2 linked regions of the Macaca fascicularis genome follow. The protein of the gene in region 1 interacts with the protein of each later gene in a biochemical or structural test. Links are inferred from orthologs where the notes say so. Each region holds a gene or a part of one and is shown on either strand. Other genes may lie near its edges. The genes, in order: DSG1 and PKP1.

What was found.
Region 2: the proteins of DSG1 (region 1) and PKP1 form a complex in vitro, tested with the Homo sapiens proteins (2 studies listed by BioGRID and IntAct). The link is inferred for Macaca fascicularis from reciprocal best matches to the Homo sapiens genes DSG1 and PKP1.

Annotation. Positions count from the first base shown.
Region 1 is NC_088392.1:58,528,915-58,532,729, forward strand, and holds part of DSG1 (desmoglein-1), read right to left. Parts: intron 2,989-3,815; coding exon 2,855-2,988; intron 2,507-2,854; coding exon 2,437-2,506; intron 1,075-2,436; exon of another isoform or gene 973-1,074; intron 450-972; coding exon 241-449; intron 1-240. UniProt on the Homo sapiens protein: Component of intercellular desmosome junctions. Involved in the interaction of plaque proteins and intermediate filaments mediating cell-cell adhesion.
Region 2 is NC_088375.1:59,012,981-59,017,398, reverse strand, and holds the start of PKP1 (plakophilin-1), read right to left. Parts: upstream 2,849-4,418; 5' UTR 2,649-2,848; coding exon 2,447-2,648; intron 1-2,446. UniProt on the Homo sapiens protein: A component of desmosome cell-cell junctions which are required for positive regulation of cellular adhesion.

The sequences.
Region 1 (3,815 bases):
GATTGCATGCCATGAACAAAAGAGAGCTGAGAGCCATTGGCTGTTCTTAAGTTGGGGAGTGAAGTGCTCAGGTCAGAGCTTTAGATCTATGATTAATTAACAGCATGGATTGTTGGACACAAACGCTGAGAATCTAGTTAGGAGACTCTTGCCCAAGCCCCTTTAGGAATTAGTGAAAGCTTGGGGTGAAGAGCAGCAGGCACATGGATGGCGAGAAAGACATGTGGCTAGGGACCTTACCTGACAGAAGTAGCTTTCCATGAAATTCATATTCAGACCTCCTTCTCTACATTCCCTCATAGAATTTCTTCTTAATGTTCCAGAGTACTCTTGACATATCTCAGGCATTCCTGAAGTTTTAACTCCCTCTGTTAGTTCAAATCCTGTCATTCTCTCTCCTCCTCCCAGATCTTGCATTTCTCTGCCACCATACTCATTTGTATAAACTCCTAAAAGTGTTGATCAAATTAAGTTTATTTTCTTTAGTCTATCACAAACTAAAAAAATTAACAACTTGCCTTATAATACATGATTTTTTCATTTAGGTATGCATTTGTGAACAAAGAAATAAAAAGATAATACATAAAGAAATGAGATATAAATACAATATTGAGCTCAAAATAATATTATTAATTTGTTAATTTGATAATTATCTGTTGAGAGATTACTATATTCTCTGCTGGAAGTGAAAGCTGCAGAGGACTTATAAAAATCTATGCCCTAAAGAGTTTGATTTCAACCTGAAGGAAATTGGAAGAAAAATACTCAAATTCTGAAAGTTAAAAAAATAGTGTAAGAATGCCCCAATGTGTAACTAGAAGCACAGGACATCCAGAAAAAGACATGAGAACCACTGGCTTTCAGAAAGGAAGCCATGGCTATGTGAGGAGAAAGGTTTTCATGAAGAATCTTGGGTTTGCACTTGGATGTGAGGAGTAAGTGGAAGCCTGTTACTGTATTTGAGGTAGATACTTGCTTCAGTAGCACATATACTAAAATTAGAACTATACAGAGAAGATTAGCATTGCCCCTGCACAGGATGATACACAAATTGGTCAAGTGTTTCATCTTTTTTAAATTAAAAAAATATAAAAAGAAATATTTGAGGTAGGTGAGATAAAATGATGGCTGGGACCGTGGAACTGCTATGGAATGATGAATGTTGTCAGTGGGATACGTATCCACTGGTTTTAGTACGTGAAGTATCTTGAGTTTGGGAACAGTGTACTTTTCATGCTTCAATTGTCCTTGGTACCTCTTATGGTGCTTTGTTCAAAATCTGTGCAAAAGTTTGTAGACTTAATGGGAACAAATGTGTAGATAAATACTGATGGATTTGATGATTTGATAAGTCTTGAGAACTGTTTTGATGTTAGTGAATGTGAGTCAACAATGAGATTCTGCTTTTGAGGTGAGAAGACATTGGGGTTGTTAATGAAAATGGACAAATCAGGTGGAGAAATAGATTTAAAGATTACTGTGTCCAATTCTTTGAATAAGTTCCAGTTCTACAAGTTATACACATGTCTATGCCTGTTAGAGTTTAAAGTAGAAAACAATGGTTACTGTTTAAAAAGACTAAGAGAAAAATACGCTAACCAATAGTATTTATTTACCTTGAGAAAAGTAATGTGATACAACTATTTTCACAGATATGGATGTTATTTTAATTGTTCTTTTATTATAGTGGTAGTTATCCACTTACTGTGAAATTCTAATTGTTCCCTGGTTTCTGCCTGTGAACTGGTCTAGATTCCTGTTTTAAGGCAAGTTGGATTTATACAGTCTTACCCATGTGCTAGAAGAAACTCCACCACGTGCACACAATCTCAGTTGAGAGCTTTGAAAGATTTTGATAGTGTTTCATCTACTTGCTTTGAATTAAAGAAATTGGACAAATATTTTTTAGGTAATATTTGTGATGATACTGAAAATGGATGTAATTTTTTTCTATGTTATAATAAGCAGCTAAAGTCAAAGCAATTCTGAATCCTTAAATTAATTGTGTATAAAGATTTTAGCCTCAATCAATGAGCACAGGTCTATTTTAGTCGGGTTGTGCTTTAATTTGAATTAGTGTATATATGTGTATGACATATGTGTGTGTATGTCTGTTAATGAAATTTGCTCTATTAAATTAAAAATCTTGACTAAAACTTACTCATGGTTACAATTCAGTACTTCTGCATATATAGAGATCCTAATTTGGTCATCTTCTAAGTACTCTTTGATGGTTGAGGAAAACTTTTAAAATGCAGCATATAAGAATAATAATTACTGTAGGTTTTTCCTTGCCATTTAATTTACAAATTAGTCATTTAAAAAAGAATGATATAAACACTTTTGAAGAAAAATAAGACCATCAAACAACAATATGCAAAGAGAGAAAACAGACTTCCTAATCATTTGAGTTGTTAAACAATGTTTTTTTCTTACCTGAGTTGTCAATGCATTCAATTATATTTGCATTATCAGGTGGTATTTGTGGTATGATGGTGGTCATAACCTAAAAGACAGGAAACAACATTGCCATTTGTAATGACCAATGACTGTAATCTTTCTATAGTCACACATTTGGTTTATTCTCAAATTACCTCAGGTTTCCCGGAAAAAAAAAAAAAAAACTATTTAGGAAATGCTGAAATCCATTTAAAATTTGAACTTCTCTTAGAAAACCTTCCCTGGTTACTTCCATCTAATTTTGTTGTGCTTTTGATTCCTCTTCATTTTCCCCATTAGATTTCTCAGCACAAAAAACAGCATAGACTGTGAGTGATGGCGGCCATCTTGGTTCATGTGTAAAAACTGAATTTCAGTGACTACCAAAGGCTATTTATTAGAATGTGGCACTTACCCCGGGTTCAGGCTGTGGTCCTTCTACTGCCCATGAATGAATTGCTCCATCTGAACATTCAGGAACAGGCTCAAAGCCAGCTGCACTACGAGGAGCACCTCCACAATCACAACAAATCATCAAAAATGGGACCACTGGTGGTGGAAGGATAGTAATACTAGATTAGCGCTTGGTGCAAATAAAAAACAAAACAACTTGACTTTTTATGGTCAAATTTGAATTCCTGATATAATTCCGGTTGGTTCTAAAATTATGAAAGTTTCAGAATACAAGCTGAGTAATGGTCAGAGCCCAAAGCAAATAGGAGCTTCTGTATATTAGACTGCAATCAATTTTAGTTTGTTTTGTAGTATTAAAAATTACAAATAGTGGGACTGGCATGGTGGCTCATGCCTGTAATCCCAGCACTTCGGGAGGCGGAGGCGGGTGGATCGCTAGAGTCCAGGAGTTTGAGACAAGCCTGAGCAACATGGTGGAACTCCATCTCTACAAAAAATACAAAAATTAGGCATGCATGGGGGCTTTTGCCTGTAATCTTAGCTACTCCGGAGGCTGAGTTGGGAGGATGGCTTGAGCCAGGGAGGTTGAGGCTGCTCAACCAGGGAGGTGTGCGGTGGTTGTGCCACTGCACTCCAGCCTGAGTGACAGAGTGAGACCCTCTCTCAAAAAAAAAAAAAAAAAATTACAGATAGTATTACATTATTAAAACCAATTAATCTTTCTATGTCATTATTTAGAAAAATATTAAAGGAGAGAAGAAGGAAAGATGAAAGGTCAGGCAATATAGTTGATCCTTTGTGTTCTCTCCTCCATGTCTTTATTTTCTTCCTTTTACATATGCTTGCCTTTATTTCAATGGTAAAATCTTATTCATGCTTCCAGCAATTCTCCTTGAGGCTACTATTTCCCCCTATGCAGGTGTCTTTTCTTTCAACAACTCTTATACAAATAGAAAACATCA
Region 2 (4,418 bases), on another chromosome or scaffold:
CCCTTCTTAACTCGGGGAACTTTGGATGGGATTCAAGGGGCTCAGGAAGACCCTAGGCGAACTGACTCTGCTCTTGGAAGAGACTAAAGGAGAATTTGAATCTGTCCAGGGGGCGAGGGAAAATGTCTGGGCATGGTCCTTCCACAGCCACCAGCTCTTTCCATTCCAGGAACCAAGGCAGGCTCCTGACAGGTAAACCAGCATGAGAAAGAGGGAGCAGAGTGAGTAGAGGTGGCCGCAGAGCAAATAGGGGACGCTTGGGCGTTTCTGATGGAGAGGACAAGGAAATCTGATGAAAACGAAGCCAGCTAAACCAGAAACACCAGCTCCAAGTGACCAAACCGCCTCTTCCAGCAAGGATGCCTCTGGGGAAACCAGCCTCCTTTAGGAACCTCCGCAGAGTCTGAGGGTAGAGGGGACACGCCCACAGGGCCAGACCTTGGAGTTTCTGGAGAGGTAGCCATCAGCATCAACCCTCCCCTGAATGAAGCCCCCTGAAGGACCTTGGGAGGAAAAACAAAGAGGGAACAAAGGAGACCTTATCAGATAGAGGTTCCCCACAAAGACCAAGCCCAGAAAGTACACTTCAGGCTGACAGACACTCAGCCGATATCCTGATAGGTGGGAGGAATAAGGGGTCCTTGGGGCACCCAGGGCCATTTGAGTTTTCTGGAGTTGTGAGCCAAGAGCTCAGGCTGGGATGGAGTGGAAGTGGGAAGGGGACAGCCAAGTCTTGGGCAGAGAGGAGAGTAGGTTGAGCAGTGCCCTGGGCTATAGCCAGAAATGGGGCACTTTGTTCTTCCAAACCTACTTCTAAAGAGGCTAGGAGGCACCTACCAATGCACCAAATAAAAGGGAAGGAGGCATGTGCTCTGGAGGCGGCACGACCTTGAGTGGAAATGTGAGGAGAGGAGCCCAGGGCTCAGACAAAGGCAAAGAGCACAGAGCAGCAAAGGCCTTTAGGTCTGGGGCCCAGGAAGTCATCTGCCCGCCATTTTCCTTCCTTCGGCTCTACATGGGGCCACTCAGGAATGGGGGCTAGGGAGTGGGTGGGGGGACAGAAGCCAGAGGTAGAAAGTGTGAGGTAGGGGTGTGTGTGTGTGTGTGTGTGTGTGTGTGTGTGTGTGTGGTGGGAGAATGGCCAAGGCTGGTTTCTTTTGTCTCCTTCCACCTTATTACCCCCTGCCCCTCACTCTCTCCTAAGGCCTGTCTTAATAAATAAGTCTTGGTTCACCTGTACTGGTTAGTGGTGGGTAAAGTCTTTATTAGTATTTTACTAAATTTAGCTAAATAAAATAAGTAAATAAATAAACAAGGGGAATCTTTGCTCACTTCTGTGTAATTCTTACCAGGCATCCTTTGTATTAAAGCATCTGTTTGGTCTATAAGCTCTCCCCTGTCAGGTACTGCCCCTTCCTCCTTGAGTTTCGCGGGTGCTGCCCCTTTCTCCCAGGCTTCCCCAGTCATGGGCTCTGGCCTCTCAGAAGCTGGAGGAGGGGGTGCCAGGCCCGGGATCCAGCTTGGAAAAGTTCCCGTGAGGGCTCAGCTAGAGGTCTCCCTGGGGCCTAGGGGGATTTCCAACCTGCCATGCTCATTCCTTACTCTCCCCATGAGACACTTGTCTACCTAAGCTGGGTGGGGTAGAAAGAATTCAGTGGGAAAGAGGAGTTCTGCATTGGCTATTCGGGAAAGAAGGCATCCTGACCCCCTTCCCTGTTGTCAAGGGACCCACTGGCCCTGGGGCGGCCTTCCAACTAGGCTAGCCTCTTTCAGGAGGCTCCCAATAAAGTGCCCTGGAGTTCCAGGGTCTCCTCCCTGCTCCCTGTGCCACTTCTCCGTCCCGCAGCGACTCTCCTGAGCTGCACTCCTGTCTCAGCGACTCCCTCACGCCGCTCGCGGATACACACGCACACAGGGACTGGGGTTCCCCTTGGCCTGAACGCCGGGCATCGGCTGCCAGCTGAAGGCCAGGAGATCAAGCCCAGGAAGGTTGAAGGGTGGCCCACAACTGATTGCGAGCGCGGGGACCATGGCCCCCAGGACAGCCAGGGTGAGACATGATGCAGGGCTGATCCCTAGAGCAGCACCCGAAAGAGAAAGCCGTCCAGACCCAGGGCTCAGGGACAGGAGAACCGCTCGCGGGGGATCCTCAGCCTCCTGGCACGCTGGGAGATACTGCCGGCTGTGTCCGGGTGAACCACCCATCCTTGCCCACTAGCGCGCCATCGAGCTCGTGGAGCTGTCGAGCCAGCCTCGGGTGGCTGTTCCATCTGCTCGGAACCGGCTAGGAGTTCGGCTGCTGGCATTCGGCGCGTAGACCCTGCATGGGGCCAGCAGCCCCTCGCCTCCCCGCACCCCCTGGGATGCTTGCGTCCCTTGGTCTCCGCCGCTGGGCCAGGGCGCTCTGAAAAGGGGCGCACGGACCACGCGGGGACCGAGCCTTTACCTCGATTGGAGTGGCTCAGGGTGGACGACTGGGAAGACTTGGACTTCTGCCGCTTGACGGTCATCATCACCTGCTCCTGCACGCGCTGCCTGCCAGAAGTGCCTGTTTTCATCTTTTGGTCCGACGGCAAAGCCAAAGTGGAGTTGTCCTGGTCCTGGAAGCATTCGTACGCCAAGGCGGTCTTGAGCGGCGAGTGGTTCATGGTGGCGGGAGGCGGGAGGCGCGCGGCCGGGGCCTGGGAGAGCAGAGAGGCGAGGCGAGGTGCGGTGCAGCGGGCGGGCGGTAACGTGCTCTTCTCGCTCTCAGCAGCTCCCTACGGCCATAGAGTGCGTGGTCCGCGTGAGGGCTCCCGGCAGCTGCTCCTGGCGCTTCCACCCCGGTTCGTCCCTCTTTGGCAGTGGCGAGGCCCGCCCTCCGTCAGACAGGATATACCACCCCTGCCCTGCACCACCCACTCCACCTGGCCGCGCGCTGCTGCCGCTCAGACGCGGAGCTGCAGGGCACTGCTGCTGCGGAGCCAGCGCTCTTGGGGGCAGGGCTACGAGTCCCCCGTGTGGGACACTGGGCGCCTTCCTGCTCGCTCTTTTTTTCTCTCCTTTTCCTCTCCCCATGAGCAAGAAACGTCGCAAGCCTTGAGGCCCCAGGGAGACGCCCCTCTGTCCTGTTCTGCCGGCTCACTGAGAAAGCATGTGTTCAGCTCAGGAACCGAGGGAGACCTCTCTCTAGGAAAAAAGGAGTCTTTCTTGACCAGGCTGTCCGGGAGAGCCAGGCGTCCATCTCCCTCTGTACTGCGGTCATAGCAGAGACCAGCCTCGGCGGTGGAGGCTCCCGGGCTGATGGCAGGACCATAGCTCTTGCTCCAAAGGAGTGCTCCATCTTATGGGGGCAACCCAGTCTACTCTAAAGCAGTTTCCTCTGAAGCAAGTCGGGTAGGGGCAGGAAGGCCACATCAAGGAGCAGACTTGAGATATCAGACCACACAGTGGGTATGCCTTGGTGAAACTGGTGGTTATTTGTTGTTCATGAGTATAGCCCGGTAAAACACCACGTGAACAGCGGATCCTCTCTGAAACTCCACTATAGCCTCTGATACAATGCCTGGCACAGGTAATATTAGGTACTCAATAAAAGATATTTTTAAATAGGTGAATACATGAATGCTAGTTAATTTAAGGTAAATTAAATCTAACTTGGATCCTAACCAGATCCTCACTGAAAAATTGAAGAGCTGCTTTATCCTGAAACTCCACTCTGGACTTACTATTTTGGGACCACTGTGTGCATTCCCCTATGCACACTCACACCCCTGGGGACACATGTGCAGTGAAGCTTCATTAATGTAGCATCCTCCCCAGGGATGGAGAGAGCCCACATCAGTGAATCTGGTGTGTAACAGGAACCGAGTCCTTTTTTTTTTTTTTTAAGTATTTACTTTGATGGAAATATTTCTAAAAAGTATCGCATTCTGCTTTGCCTCCTAAAGCAAACAACACTGAACATATTTGCTGTACTTCTTGATGCCCTGAGTTTCACATTCTGGACATCCATTACTGAACTGTGTAGTCGTGCAGTCCAGTCAGCTTCTTAGTTTTGGGGCCTCCACCAGCTGTGTGACACTATCACAGCCGTCACTCTTGCTGTCATTTGAGGTTGCCCTTCACAGCTCACATGCTTTACTTTTAGTTTGCTCTTCTAATCTACGGAGGAAAGGGCAATCAGAAATCTATTCTTTTTGGGAATTTTATGTCGAGGAAGGATCTAGAAGACTGAATGACTGTCTCAGGGACCACATGAAGGTCACTCACGCACTTCCTGAGATGTGGGTGTTACATGCTGGGAGCAACATTCCCAAGGAAGGTATTCCTGGTAGCAATTTCCAGAGCAGAGTGTTGTAAAACAGACTGTAGTTTCTAATAGAAACAATTTTATTATTGAGGGCTCTGTTCCTAAGAACTTATCCTCAAGTAAACCA